2 linked regions of the Alligator mississippiensis genome follow. The protein of the gene in region 1 purifies or fractionates together with the protein of each later gene. This does not show direct contact. Links are inferred from orthologs where the notes say so. Each region holds a gene or a part of one and is shown in the gene's direction. Other genes may lie near its edges. The genes, in order: ENO1 and TPI1.

Region 1 (7,744 bases):
TTCAAGCCCAAGGGAGCATCAATCCCTATACCGAGCTGCATGTTTCACATAGCAACATAGGAAGTCCTGATCCCAACAGGTGTGGTAATATAGCAAAGTGGGAGCAGAGAGGGTGAGAACAAAGGACTTCCTTTGTCCTTCCCTAGATTGCTGTGATCCCGGCAGTGTGACATTATCCACTTGTCTCATTTTAGCCTTGTGAAGGGATCTCTCTAATCAAATCATCTTCTCATCCTGTCCATAGCAGTTATGCTGGGCCTTAGCATAGCTTTGTCCTGTGTCCCCTGCATTTTAGCTACAGGTATGTGACCCGGCTGACCTGATCAGAACATTAAATGTCCTTTCACAGCATCTGATGAAGTGAGTTTCAGCCCACAAAAGCATGTGCTCTCCATACACACTTTAGGTAGTGTATCACAGGGGTGGGCAAAATGTGGCCCGCGGGCCGGATGTGGCCCGCCAGACCATTGTATCCAGCCCATGGGGCCCCTACAAAATTTAGAAAATCAATATTTATCTGCCCCGGCTGCTTGTCATGCGGCCCTCGATGGCTTGCCAAAACTCAGCAAGCGGCCCTCCACCCAAAAAAATTGCCCGCCCCAGTCTATAAGGTGCAAAGCTACTCTGCCTTATATTTGACTTCAGACCAGCAGAGCTATCTATGTCTCTCTAATCAGAACAGCCAGTCCAACAAGTACCCTTGGAAGCAAAGTAGTTGGAAGAGACTGGCAGCTGGTAGCAGGAAGAGACTCTATCTTTGCTTATGGATCAGGGTATGTCACAACTTCCGCAGCTCACACTGGCTCTGGCCATAGACTTTTTGGCATGTCAAGCAGAAGCTTTGAGTCCAGTAAGGCTTTACTCAGCTGTGGGCTGGGAACAGCTGATAGTGCAAGATGATCAAGTGAATCCTAGGGGGGAAAGTATTTCTCAGCGGCTTTGTCAATGGGGAGTGACTCGCACAAAACATCACATTCTTATTATACACCATGACAAGGGATCCCCACTGACTCCATAAAAAGCAAGCTATTAATTTCCAGAGCTGGGACTCTGCGCATTTTGTGCACAGTTCAACATCACATGCCTTTCAAGTGTTATCCCAGTAACAAGAAAGAGTAAGTACAGCTGAGTGAATCAGTATCATTGAAAAGTTATCTGATTATTGTGCTTGTCACAAAATGTCCTTGAATGGAGCACAGTTTCTTTGGAAGTATTTATCACATTATTTTGACAAACAGTTTTGATTCCATGGCATGTGATACTAAACTGTCCTGGGAGATCACTTGGCCCTTGAAATATGCTCCTTCAGAATTGCTGCCAAGTTGCAATTGGTTAGATAAATCAGGTGGTATTTTATAGGTGTCCTCTGTCTGTTTGATGCATGAGCCCACCATGAGTGCACATTTAAAATTAATTTATTATGAACACACACACACGATTTGGCTTCCAAATCAGCCTTCCACAAGCATTTGTTGCTTTTGGCTGTTGACGGATAGTGAACCCAAAAGAGATGCAAGTGCTGTTGATATTGATTTGTTCCAAAATCCAAATGCATTTCACAGAACTTGTTGAAGAATGTCTCAGGGATGTATGTGGTAGCCATGTTGGTCTGAGACAAAAAGAAATGCAAAGCTCTAAAACTCTTGGTTCAGAGATGATACCTTTTAACTAAGAAATTGCAAAAATATTATCTTTCTTTGTAAGCTTTCGGGCACATGTACCCTTCTTAATTTCTCCTTAGCCTAAAGAAGGTGCATGTACCCGAAAACTTCCAAAGAAAGATATTTTTTTTGCAATTTCTTAGTTGATCTAATAAAAGCTATAAGCTCTGAACTCCAAAGTTCAGGGTTTTGCATTTCGTTGTGAAGAATGTCTTGCATTCAGAAGCTTGTCTAACTATCCCAACTACAGTTGTTCCAATAAAAGATATCAACCTATGAAATTCTCACCTCTCAGAATTTATCATGGTTCATCAGACAAGGTTCTTTGGGTGAATCTGATATCTTTTATTAGGCCAACTTAAATAGTTGGGGGGGGAAAACATTTAAATAAGCTTTTGGGTTTAAAAACCCTTCATCAGGCTGAGGAAGTTTCAGCAGTTGGTGTGTGCTCTTCCTGGATGGCATGAAAAGTAAAGAAGCCAGAGGCTGGTCTGGTCTGCATGCAAGACAGACAGTCAGTGAAGATGTAAATTGAGGAGTCAGTGGGAGAGAGAGAGGCTGGGTTGGGGGGAGAGACCATGCTTCAATATTTGTTCCTCATCCATTTTTGTGTCTTTATTTCATAGAGAAGTAAGGCTGAAACAATGTACCAAAGTATTTTCTTTTGTCTCTTAGGGACAGTATGTGTACAGGCAACCCTCAACTTACAACGTTTCGAGTTACAACGTTTCGCACTTACAACTTTTAGAAATTGACACCCTGTTTCAACTTTCTGACCTCAGTTTCAACTTTACAATGCTTGATCCGATGCGACGCCATGCCAGTGAACAAGTTCAAGACTTCAGGAAAACCTTCAGCCAAGACTCCTGAGAACACTCCAGCTAAGAGCCCTTCAAAAAGTCCAGCAAAGTCACCTCAAAGAAGTCCTTCCGAATCAATATGATTACTATTTACAGTCTAAATACATTAATCTAGCTATATTATGCATCTATAATTGATTGAGTACAAAATTCTCGGTTATTTTTGGTGAAAATAGGGTATTGGGCCTTGGTTCAGGAACCAATCCCCCATTTATAACATTGCATCCTATGGAAAAATCGGTTTCAAGTTACAATGTTTCGACTTAAGACAGGGTTTTCAGGAACCAATTGTGTTGTAAGTCCAAGGACTGCCAGCAGTCCGTTTTAAGCATTACTATCAGCCCCATCTTGAAAACACACAGCGAGTACCAATAAGTATTTCAAATACCTATCCATTGCAAAATATATATTTTTAACTGGCTGCTCTTGTTCTCACTTACAGGACACAGGCCTCCTAATCCAAAGCAGACTGAAATGAAAAACTTCCCTTGGCCTAAATCCAGCATTTTTTACACATCCCAAATCCCCATTGCTAACAATGCAATGGTCTCTTATCTTCAAATACTTAGGCACGAGCAGTTTTGCAGAGCACGTGCTCCCCATTTGCTAACAAAGAACAGCTCCCCCCTTGTCTTCAGAGTGACCATTTGGAGAATGGAAACATAAACTGTTCAGGGCCATTTTCTTCAAAGACCTTTTCAATTACTTGGCAGTTTTTGTGTTGCCGAAAGAAGATGCTTGTATCTGATTTGTGTTTCTGTGATGCTGCATATTAAAGGGTTGGGTTGGCACATGAAAGGATGCTACATTCACTGAAGTTCTGGTGCATTCTCTGTGCAATATGAAAAAAACCTGCTTTTCAAAGCTCTCGTTATGAGCCAATGCAGCATGTCATCTCTAGACAGGCAGTTTAGTACACTCCTGAGGTGGGGAGGAGGGATTGAAACCTGGCAGCCACAGTGAAATTCCCCTTGCCCATCCCCCTCGCAGCCGCATTCCACCCACCAAAACCTTATGAAGGGCTAAATGGCACTGCACGTGTTAGCTGCACAGATCAGTGCCTTATCTTTTGACCCTAAGGCCTGCATTTCATAAGGGGATAATAGAAGTGCAAAAATTCTTGCCGGCGCCGTGACAAGCTAAACTCACTGAATCCTCGCCGCTTAGCACCTAGCTACATGTCTCCAGCACCCCCCTGCCTTTCTTCTCCACAACTGCTTGCCTACGCTTTGTCCTAGCCTCTTCCTTCATCTTTCCTGCAGCCAAAAAAGAGAAGGGAATGGGACTTGTTGCAATTTCCTGATTTCGTCCATGATAGTGTGGACCAAACTGTTGCTTTTCCAGTTTCCTGAGCAAAATGAAAACCCCGAACGACTTCATTTGGGCTTTTCTTCCATCTGAACCAAAGTGTCAGCTTTTGATTTCAGGGTCCTCACCCCAGTTTTTACTACGAGTAACTTTAGGTAAATTTTCTGAATGAAAATCATTCCAAAAGGCAAAATCCAAACAGAGAAACCTTTCCAATTTATTATTATTTGATTGTTATGAATTTCTGCCCGATGCTGGGCTGCATTTGGGGGATAGTTGCAAATCCATCTGGAGGCCCGAAAGGACCTTCCCCAGCAACTTCGTAGTCCCAGAAAGCCAGGCCTGGCTCCAGTCCCGCGGTGGGCTGCCCTGGGGGCTGCTCCTCCGCTTTACCCGGGGCATAACCCTGCTGGCAGCACCCGGCCGCCAACCAGAGGCACCCAAAAGCACCTCTTTTAAAAAGGGGGTTCGGATTTGCAGGCATAGGGCACCCCCGCTCTTTGGGGCGCTGCTAAACCTGAGGGGGCTTTGCTGTGTGCATAGATGTGTGTGTAGGGGTGTGCATGTTTGGGGGGACACAGGGGTTAACCCTTGGCGGCGCGGCCCGCACGCGGCGCGGGGTTTTTCCACGGCGCCTGCACGTCCCGCACGAGCGCAGGGGCGGGGCGGCGCCAGGCCCCGCTGGGCCAATGGGAGGCGGCCGCCGGAGCCGGACGGACCAATGGCGTGGCGGGCCGGGCGGCGCATCTGCATGGGGCGGGTATAGGCGCGCGGGCGGCCGCTCGGCCCACTCTCTGCGAGCTGCCGGCGGAGACGGTCGTGTCGGGTCGTGTCTGGGCGCTGCCACTGCTGCTGCTGGGTCCCGGTGCGTGCGGGCGGGCGGGCGGGCGGGCGGGCCGTGGGGTTGCAGGGAGCGGGGGGCGCTGCGTCTCTCCCCCGCCGCGCCCCGGGCAGCGGGCCGGGCCGGGCCGGGCCGGGCGGGAGCAGGACCAGGACCAGGGCTGTGCGCTGGGCAGGCGGCTTCCCTGCTCCCATCGTCGTCAGCCCCTTCCTCGGCCCTCCTCCTGCTTCCTAGTCCCCATCCTTCCGCTTCTTCCAGTACTTCTTCACCTTCTTCCTCTTCCCTCCTTCCATTTCCTAGTCCCATCCACCCGCCCCCCACCCCTGCATCTGCATCCTCCTCCTATTTCCCCCCTCTGCATCTTCCTCCTCCTCCTTGTTCCTCCTATTTCCCCCCTCTGCATCTTCCTCCTCCTCCTTGTTCCTCCTATTTCCCCCCTCTGCATCTTCCTCCTCCTCCTTGTTCCTCCTATTTCCCCCCTCTGCATCTTCCTCCTCCTCCTTGTTCCTCCTATTTCCCCCCTCTGCACTTTCTACTTCTTTTCCCTCTCTCCATTTCCTTATCCTCCCCCGTGCCCTGAATCCCTCCCTCCGTCCTGGGTTTCACTCCCCTGCCCGTGCAGGCACTGTTGGGTGCAGAGCCAGGGCAAGGGCCTGGTGTTGAAACCGGAGAGCAGAGCAGCCCTAGCAACCCCATTCTGGGCTGCTCCCCTGCCTCGCATACCAGCTCCTCATCTAATCTGGGCAGAGCTAGGGAGTGATTTGCAAGGCCTGCAGGCCCCTGGGTCATGCTGATATCGGCCAGGCCAGGCACGCTGTAGCAGTCAAGCACGTGCTCTTTGCAGTGGGAACTAGACCTCTAGAAACGGCCTCTTATGACTCAGCCGCAGTAATATATGCAGGTTACCTAAGTCCTCCTTTTCCTATGACGTTAGTAGTGCTGAGTAGGAGTGCACCTCCCTGTAGTGAGAACTGAGTCATGCTGTATCGATGGAAGGGAGCAGCTTTCAGGGTGCGTATTTGTGTGCTGTTCTGCAGCCTGCTTCCTCAAAGACTAGATAAAATGCCCCTCTTAATGATTAACGGCCCAAGTGACAGTTTGTCTTGGATACTGCTCAGTCCCCTGGACCTTCTCCTCTCTTGCGACAGTAGCTGCCCTTCAGCCCTGGTTCTCAAATATTGAGTGTATTGCTCGACCAATGTTCTCTGCTAGCGGCTGTCACTGAAATCTGACCATGAAAATAATGAAATGTCCCATTGCTTTTGGAACAGGGTGGGAGGTAATGGCTGTAACCTGATGGGACTCTCCACTGTCTTGATGCACTAGTGAAAAAATGGTGCAAAGTCTCCTTTTGACTGGCATTGGGTTGGTGCAGGTGGTCAGGAGAGGAATTTTAGTCATCCAGACTTTCCGTTAATGGCTACGCTGAGTCACAGGGCAGGGATGCAGGCTTTGAGCTGTGCAGGAAGGAAGCCCTTGTTTCGCTTCCAAAACCACAAATGGAGGCAATGCAGTCCCTGGCCTCCACTTGATTAAAAACATGGACTCCGAACAGTTGGGCATTTCCTGACTTCTGCATTCCCTGCCACACTGGGTGCCAAGCACGGTCCTAAGGGCTGTTGCATGGAAGGCATACAAATGAATGAGCCACGTGCTGTATGTCGAGAGGTGGGATCTGAAGGAGTCCTTGCTAAGGTCATACTCTGACTGCATCTTATCTTGTGGAAGCGATGTGTCAGGACCTCGCCCTGCTGCATTTGCTCATTACCTGGTGTAGGTGAGGTTGCAGACCTCCAGGAAATCCTGTTCAGCACCAAGTGGAAGTTCAAGCAAACTGCTGGTGGCTGTATAACAAAACCTGGGCCCTGCAGAGAGGCAGGACTCTGCCATGGACGTGCCCTTGCGCTTTGGACTGTTTCATCGTCCTCAGCAGCCTGTCATATTGAGCAGCAACGAGTGGCTGTGTCCATCTTAGACCATATTTCCTTACCAGAACAGGGGCGTTTGCATAATGACTTGGCAAGTGTGAGTTAGCCACAGAATCCTTCCCTTTTTTGGCAGTGAAGATGTGGCCTAAAAGTCTCTTCAATCTGTTTAATCCTGAGGTTGAAATTGGCTTAATTTCCCATGCCAGCTGCTTGTGTGATGTACTGTCCCCATACACCAGAATTTGGATGGGACATAAGACATCTGAGAGGCTTGATGCGACAGAATTCGGGATGCTGCAAGTCCCAGCCTAGCGTGTGTTCCCTGCCTGCCTTTTCCTGTCTTCCTAATAGGAGAATTGACCCTGCTCATAGATCAGGAGCAACTTAGTTGCTCAATGTTTCCCTCTTTTTTTGTAACTACCAAGATACAAAGCTGCAGCTGTGCAGACTTTATATTCATGGCTCCATCTCCAAGCACTGAATAGACTCCAGGAACATTTCTGCTTTCCAAATCCTTTTGTAGATGTTGGCTTCTAGAGTCTTTTCTCCCTGGCATGCAACCAGCAACATGAAGTCAGGCAGGCAGGAGCATAGCTGGGTTGAGGTGGCTCTTGTTCTCCTTTCCCCTTCGTGGCTGAGGTCGAGTGAATCGGAGCAGGAGGCACCTGAGCCATGTCGGGTCAGACTATCTGGCAGACGGCTCTGTGCAGTTGTGTAACGCTGCAGCGCTGGAAACTGCATGGCTGCTAAGGAAGGGGAGGGGCTTTGGGGAGGGCATTTTGTCAAGGACGTTGGAGCAATGTGCCTCCTTGTCCGGGACCTTATGAGATGGCCACAGTGAGGAATGCTTAGGAGAAATAGTCTCCTGCTTGTACAAGGGAGAAGTTCACTGCTCCATTTCCTTGTGAACTGACATCTCTCTTGGAAGGTGGGACATCATTTCTTTGATTGCACTGCAGCCCTGAAAATGAAAGCAAGATGCAGCCCATAGGAGAGCCTAATGAGCTCTGCTGTTTAAAAGCAGCCTCAGTTGGATTATAGGGATTTGGGCACAGGGAAAGGAAACGCTACATCATATCAGCAATCAAACATCATGGGAGGGGAGTGTGGGCCCTAAGCTATCCCTGGGAAAAGGCAAGGGAATAT
Region 2 (7,421 bases), on another chromosome or scaffold:
ATGGGCATCACAAGTGGAGGTTGTGGGAAAGCTAAGTTCTGGAAAGGAAGGGAAAGGTGCTGCAGGCCTCAAAGATCTCCTTAATGAGGGATTGTTGGCTTTGGTAGAGCCTTGCATAGCCTTGGGATTGAGATAACATACTCTTTTTCCTCTGCCACAAGTCATTGCTCTTTTTAGATTGGGGCATAAATCTAGGCTACAGAAGCTTTATGAAAGACAGTGGTTTTCAACATTTTTAGAGTCTATGCACCTGTTATATTACATTTGAGGCCCCCCTCAGAAAATGCCAGCTCTTTAACACACTTTTTTTGACTACAGAAAAATACCAGAGCAATTCTGTTGCAAAGAACTCAGAAACACTATAGCAGGCCAGAATGTTTTTAACACTATGGATTCCGATTTGAAATCTCTGAATTTATCTTGTGAACATGTTTGCACACCAAACAGTGCTAATATTATACAGCATCTTATGGCACCCTTGAAAGGATCTTGGGGCACCTCTGGGTGCCATGGCACCCTGGTTTGAGAATCACTGGTATAAAGAAAGGGACTCATGCAGGACACAACAGAGCCCACAGGTGTATCTGACCATTGTTTGGGGAGGGGGGGTCTTTAAAACAGACCTTATAAGTATGCCAAGTGCAGTGCAGGAATAGTTCTCTAGCTTGTGTAAAAGCACAAGAGTCAAAGATTCACAGAAAGATGTAGAAATGATACAACAGGAATGTTGATTCTGTTTACAAAAGGGGGATAGATATTTTCACTAACAAACAGATGTTAAGATCATTTTCATAGGTGTTGCTGCAGACACTATTGGGGGGGGAGGAGGTGCATTGTTCCTTGATGCACTTGGCTTGGTAAAGCATGGTTAAAGGAAGATGCTGCTGAAACTGTCAGCTCTGAGCTTTGAGATGGGTGTTTAAAGCAGAGCAAGAGGCCAAAGGAAAGGATGTATTTGTTTATTAGGCCAGAGGTAAGCCCTTTTGATGGAGTGGCTCATGGCTGTTTGTAAGGGGTATAAAAGAAATACAAGATGCCACTTTCTCTTCAAACTTTGTGCTGACACAAGTAAGCTACTGAATTACAGATTGATGGCACAAACCCAATTCTTTTGTGACCAAAGGTGAGACAGGCGTGTATCTTAGCCTGGTATTGTACTTTTTTGCCATATGACAGGGAGGGCATCGAGGCAGAGAGCATGTTCTGTGACCTGCACCCTGAGTCCATTTTTCCTAAAGCAGTTGCTTTTGTAGATGATGTTACAGTGATGATGACAACCTTGGGGGAAAAAAACCAAGCAACTCCCAAGTGTGTATGCCTACTGATGAAAACATCTCTGGGGCTTTGTAGTATGTTAAGAGTAAGACAGGCCCAGGTCATGGCTTTTAAAAACTAGTGGGAATCATTATGTCCACAGAGGTTGTGAAGCCTCTGGCTGAGGAAAGTCCAGTGTTCCTGGAGCCAACCTTTTTGGCAGGGATGGCACAAGATGAGCTCCACACCCTCCCCAAGTGCCACTCCCATCCCCTTCCCATACCCAATCTGCTGCTTTTGGTTGCTATTCTGTGGTCTGATTGGATGTCCTCTGCTCCCTGCCCAGTCTGTTATCTGCTGTGCACCACAAGAACCCTCTGTGCTGCTTGTGACATGCTTGACACAGGTTGGCCACCCCAGCCTAGAGAATCCAGATGGCAGGGGGAAAGCGGGGAATGTAACAGCCTGTTAGGCGATCCAGGCTGGTAGAGGATATGCTTGAGTAGCAGAAACAGGCACCTCAGGCCTGGTCATGTGTGGTATAGGTGCATGGTAGTCTCTAAACTACATCAGCAGTAGCAGATCCCACTGCTGTCACAGGACAACCATTCAGACATCCTTTGTGATAGCACAGGACAAACTGTCAGCACCTCTTATCCTAAGAACCTTTTGGGGGCTTTGTCCTGTGACATCTGAATGCTCACATTTTGTCGGGGGGGGGAATATTTTCTCTTGGGACAAGGGTGATGTCTGTTTGTAACTGAATGGTCAGGGTTTGGAGGAGGGGGTGAAAGCATCAGGCCCTAGTAGAAACCTGTGAATGACAGAACAATACAGTAAGTGATGTCTAGTGTGACAGCAACTACCTGTTTGCTCTAAAGAAAGGTGAGTGGATTGACATGGGGTATAAGATGAGAAGATGGGCCTGGAGGATATAACAATATCATCTATACATTTTTCGGAACCTTTTAGGGGAGGCAGGTGGACATAGGCCAGGGGGGTGGGGGGGAGATGGGCCTGGACCTGAAGGGGAAGTAGGGTGGAAACAGGCCCGGAGGCTTGGACAGGGGGGGCGGCATGCTTCCCTCATTCCCGGTCATTCTTGATGGGCAATTAGTTAATTGTATTATATCCATTTATCAAGTTTGTTTGCAAAGGAGCTGGCCATTGGTTTGTAATCAAGCTTTGAGTAGGGGACACAAAGTTTTTTTTAACAAAGGCATTTTGATACTACTGATGAAAAGGAAGAGACAGGTCACCCTGTGTAGGCCACTCATTCCATAATAGGTCCTCTAAAGTTTCACTGTGGAGTCTGGCACAAGCCCCACTTTCTCTGCTACATCTGGAACTGCCAAGCACAGTTAAAGGCTGACTTCTATTAGACTTGTTGGCTGATCAGAGGGTGGTTTTTAAAACAGGAGTCGGGGGCCAGTGAAGAGGCTTTGGGCAGAATCGTATTTCATGATGTGGGTGCTTAAGTGCCACTTACAGGCTGTTTTTCTGGTATCTGTCTTAAGTGCAGCACTAATTCACTTTTTTCAGAATTGAATGGCACTTACTTGGCTGTTTACTACTGCAGTACACATCAGCCAGGTAACTTGTACCCACAGCCACTAAGCATGCTCCTCCACAGAGATCCTAGTCATCTCTGGAAATGCACAGTGGCCATTTATACCCCGGAGCAAATCTGTCCTGTTCCTCTGGGCATCTAGTGGTTTTCCAAGACCAAATAGAAAAATAAATGTAATTATGCAAAAAGTACAACTAGCAGGATTCAGCTGCATTGGCAAGTGCTACTGCTTCTGCTGCATTACTTTGCAGCCAATTGAAACCTGGACCATAGATAAGGGGCCCTGGGATCCTGGAGCAGTACTAGGCTGGGGGTTGAGGGGGACTCTTAATGGAGGACTGTGTTGAGGCCAGAGAGAGGCCAAGGACATGCTCCTGCATCCTGTTGGTAGTGTTGGCTACCCAGCCCCCAGGATGCTTCAGCTCTGGCCACATTGCTGACCTCAACTACTTCAACAGCAATCATGCAGAGGGGGCCCAGGGCCAGGGTCCAGGAGCAGCCTCAGACCCATGTGTACCTGCCTCACCAAATTGTTGAGGAGCTGGCAGATGTCTGGAGTTGTAGGTGTGTCCAGAGGCAAATGTGGTGCACTAACCTTGCTGTTGAGGGCTATGGGCCAGCACAGCTAGAGGGCTCTGCGTTCTCTAGCAGGCTACATGCCCCCAACTTCTGGTAGCCTGCCTGTTGCCCACCAGGCTGGATAGAGATGCTCTAAGCTAGATCTGGCCCACGTGCTGCATGTTTGAAGCCCTTGACGTAGACCATGGCCACTGCTGGACACAGGTAAGGTTCCATGCACCTGACAAGCCTCCTAGTGAAAGCTCCCCTATGCCTCCTGGCCGCCCTGCTGAAGAAGCACCCTGCCCCACTGCCTTGGGTCCCTCCACTTCTGGAGAGACTCCTTGTTCCAGCCCCTGACCACCCCCTTGCTGCTTCCAGCTTCCACAGCAGGCAGGCGTGCTCCACCCCAGGTGGTCTGCAGTCCTGGGTCTCCTGAATGTCTCCAGGAGTTAGGCAGTAAAATCAGGTAGCTGAAAAAACCAACACAGCCCCCCCCCCCCAAAAAAAAAAAAAAGCTCTGTGTATAACGTGAGCAGAAGACAACACAGATTTGCACTGCCTAGTGATACTCGACCAGGGTGCTGGGCACCTAGGGGTGCCACAAGTGTCTTTTGAAGGGCCCCCTCAGCCCCCCGTGCTTCGTGGGCTAACTGCACCCTCTCCCCCATGTCCTGGTAGCCTGCCTATTGCCCAGCAGGGCTTCTTGGGCTATGACAACCTGTGAGGTGGGGCAGGCAATCATTCGTCACTGAGACCCAGGCAGAGGCAGGTGAGCGCACACGCACAAGGGCGGTGCAGGAACCTCGTGTCCCCCAAAGCAAGGAAGCGCGGGGCAGCGGGAGGGAACAGGATGCGCGGGGTCTTCCAGCGCGGACAGGGGCCGCTCTCTCCCCCTGGGAAACGCCCCGGGGGCGGGGCGTATGGAACGCGGGGCGGGGCTGCCCAGCCGGCCTATAAAAGCGCGGCAGTGGCGACTGCGCGGAGCTTTTGACCTTGCCTCGTCCTGAGCCGTCGTCCTACTTGCTCCGCTCCAGCTATGGCGCCCAGGAAGTTCTTCGTGGGGGGGAACTGGAAGATGAACGGCGACAAGAAGAGCCTGGGCGAGCTCATCCACACCCTCAACGGCGGCAAGATCCCCGCCGAGACCGGTGAGAGCCGCGCAGCGCGGCATCCCGGCCCTGCAGCCACTCGCGGGGCGGGTCTCCGCGCTGTGCCGCGCCGCACGTACGCCCTGGCTCGCCTCGGCCCACGTGACGCCGCCGCCGGCTGCTGCTTCCTCCCGGCCCCGGGGATGCTGTGGCGGCGCCCGTCCGGCTCACACGGGCTGGCGCTGCCCCATCGTGGGGCGGCTGGGCGGGGGTAGGTAGGGTTGGGCTGGAGCTACCCGCTCCTCTGCCTCGCCCTGGCTCTCTGCGGGACAGGACTTCCTAAGTTGGCACGTGGCTCGCCCAGGTCCCTGCTCTCCTGGGCTGGGGCTGGGGCTGGCCTCGCTTCCCTTCCCTTTAGGGCAGCAGCTCTCAAGCCTCTGAGACTCCAGGCTGCCCTTGCTGGGCTGCAGGCAGGCCTGAGGAAATTCCAGCTCTTGGCCTCTTCCATGTTTCCCAGTGGAAGAGGAGCAGGGCACGTCTGGTGGCAGAAGACTCCAAAACCCACAGGGCAAAATCGGTTTAGCACCACGGCTTCCTACTTGAAATCATTGGGAGTCACATTGGCATGCTCTAGAGCATGGCACGGCACCCTGAACCTACTTCAAGGCACCCCAGGGTGCTGTGGGAACCTGGCCAGGGATCACTGCTCTAGGACTTGACATTGCTTTGGTTCCAATGCTAATTGAGTTAAACCAGTACAGTTAAAACCAGGCTTAGTTATGTTGTTTCAGCTTTGTGCACATATCTGGCCTGGTCCTCCCTCCCAGCCCAGGCTTTGTGCTCCCTTACACAGGGCTTCTGCCCCCATCTCCCTGAGGGTTGCTTGATATCCTGTGTTCACAACTTTAGCTGGGCTCCTGCTCCTCCTCTTGGTGTCCTTGGGACATCTTGGCTCCAGGCCAGCAGGGGAAGAGCAGGACTCATGGAATCTTCCTTCTCTTTGGATGTCTGCCTCCTGCCTCCTCAGAAAGGGCTAGATGGGGCTGGGGGAGCTGTTATTCTGCGGGAGGCACCCTGAAGAAATGTCAAAGGGCTGTGAGGAGATGGAAGCCTAAATATAACCAATGGTGACTGGGCTAAAAATATCGGCTACTGTACTTGGTGTTGGAAACCAGATTCCCTCCCCCCTCTCCCCCTTCTAAAGGCCAGAGGGGAGGGGAGCTGGGGCAGCCCCTGGGGCTATTAGTTGCAGGTACTCTCCCTGAAACTATCACAACCCCCTCCTTTTTTGGAGAGGGCAGTGCTGAGTACTGTAGGCTTCCTTGCTGCTGCCTTCAAAGTGGGTGGCTGGCTGGGACTATAACGTCCCTGTTTGGGGTAGGCATCCTGTCTCATCCTGGTACACAGACTAGATGGCAGAGCTCCATATGTATGCAGATAGGCAGTGTTATAACATGGCTCCTGCACCCAGACTCTAAGCTCCATGCTTGCCTTGGTAGTGATTGAAGCCTGTGTGTTCAGTGGACAGGATCAGACCTGCCCAGTGGAAGAACCCCCTGCCCCTCCCTGTTTTGCATCTAATTTTTATGTTTTCCTTCACTTGGCAGCAGCATCCCTTCTGTCTCCACCTTTTCTGGCCTCCACTCGTGTGCAGGGAAGGTGAACACACTGTCTACAAGAGAGTGCTGCAGTGGTGGTTTCCCCAAGTTCAGTGTCCGAGAAGCATCAGCCGGACAGCTCTTTAGTTACTGTAGTGGGACAAGCTGTACTGTGTAGCTGTAGGGATAATTGAAGCTTCACTGGGATACATGTAGTTCAGGACTTGTAGCTCTACTCTTCAGGGACCTGAACAGTGGGGCTTCTGCTCCCTTTCATGGAGTAATGATTCCTTAAGATTCCCAGTCCCCTCAGTGTTGGGTAATGGTTCCTGACCACCTTTTTCCTGTCACTGTGTCTGTTCCCCCTTTATCTTGGCCTTCCTGGCTCCCAGTTACACTTATAATCCCCTGTGCAAGTCAGTGCTCCCCTCCTTACTCTCAATTCATCTAAACTATCTGCAGAAAGAAAAGAACAACTTTCAATTGGACAGTTCCCAGGGGTCCTTTGCTCTGATTTGGAAACCTGAAACATTGCATCATCCTGTTGTTGAGAGATGTGAGAAGTGGTTTCCTATGACAGTGTTCCCCCTAAGTTCTGTGAGCAAGGAAATCAAACTGCATCAGCAATAACCCTCCTGCTCTAGTGGGTCCTTGAAATTCAACAAAGCTGGCTTGTGATGGGTTGCTACAGCTTAACAGAGCTGAGAGATGGGTTGGAGTAGGGGTGAGCACCTGGGGGCAAGGGAAGTTCTACAACTGGAGGGTGGGTCAGATCTGACACCCTGCCTGCTCCCCATGAGGTTTACTCCATCTTTTATCTTTCAGAGGTGGTTTGTGGAGCCCCTTCCATCTACCTTGACTTCACCCGTCAGAAACTAGATGCAAAGATCGGGGTTGCAGCACAGAACTGTTACAAGGTGCCAAAGGGAGCATTCACAGGAGAGATTAGGTGAGCCTGCAGTCGCAGATGGAGCTGGTGGAACAGAAACTGAAACTTATTGCAACAGGTACCCATTTCAACACGGACCCCAAAACTAATGTTTCTCCTTTCTTCCCATTCAGCCCAGCCATGATTAAAGATGTTGGAGCTACCTGGGTTATCCTTGGCCACTCAGAGAGAAGGCATGTTTTTGGAGAGTCTGATGAGGTGAGTGATTTTTTTTTTTTTTTTTTGCAGGGTTGGGGCGAGGTGAAAACAAACTATCTTTTAACATCTTCATGGGCAGGGGGCTAGAGCTGCCCTAGAAGGTGAACACTGGGAGTGAGTCTGACCATAGCTCAAGCTTTCTTCCTTTCCTGTCCTCCTTCCAGCTGATTGGACAGAAAGTGGCTCACGCCCTGGCTGAGGGT

What was found.
Region 2: the proteins of ENO1 (region 1) and TPI1 fractionate together in Homo sapiens (co-fractionation; 4 studies listed by BioGRID, with this or other methods). This does not show direct contact. The link is inferred for Alligator mississippiensis from reciprocal best matches to the Homo sapiens genes ENO1 and TPI1.

Annotation. Positions count from the first base shown.
Region 1 is NC_081836.1:10,361,183-10,368,926, reverse strand, and holds the start of ENO1 (enolase 1, (alpha)), read left to right. Parts: upstream 1-4,655; 5' UTR 4,656-4,694; intron 4,695-7,744. UniProt on the Homo sapiens protein: Glycolytic enzyme the catalyzes the conversion of 2-phosphoglycerate to phosphoenolpyruvate. In addition to glycolysis, involved in various processes such as growth control, hypoxia tolerance and allergic responses.
Region 2 is NC_081824.1:244,003,671-244,011,091, forward strand, and holds the start of TPI1 (triosephosphate isomerase), read left to right. Parts: upstream 1-4,361; 5' UTR 4,362-4,421; coding exon 4,422-4,533; intron 4,534-6,896; coding exon 6,897-7,020; intron 7,021-7,133; coding exon 7,134-7,218; intron 7,219-7,382; coding exon 7,383-7,421. UniProt on the Homo sapiens protein: Triosephosphate isomerase is an extremely efficient metabolic enzyme that catalyzes the interconversion between dihydroxyacetone phosphate (DHAP) and D-glyceraldehyde-3-phosphate (G3P) in glycolysis and gluconeogenesis.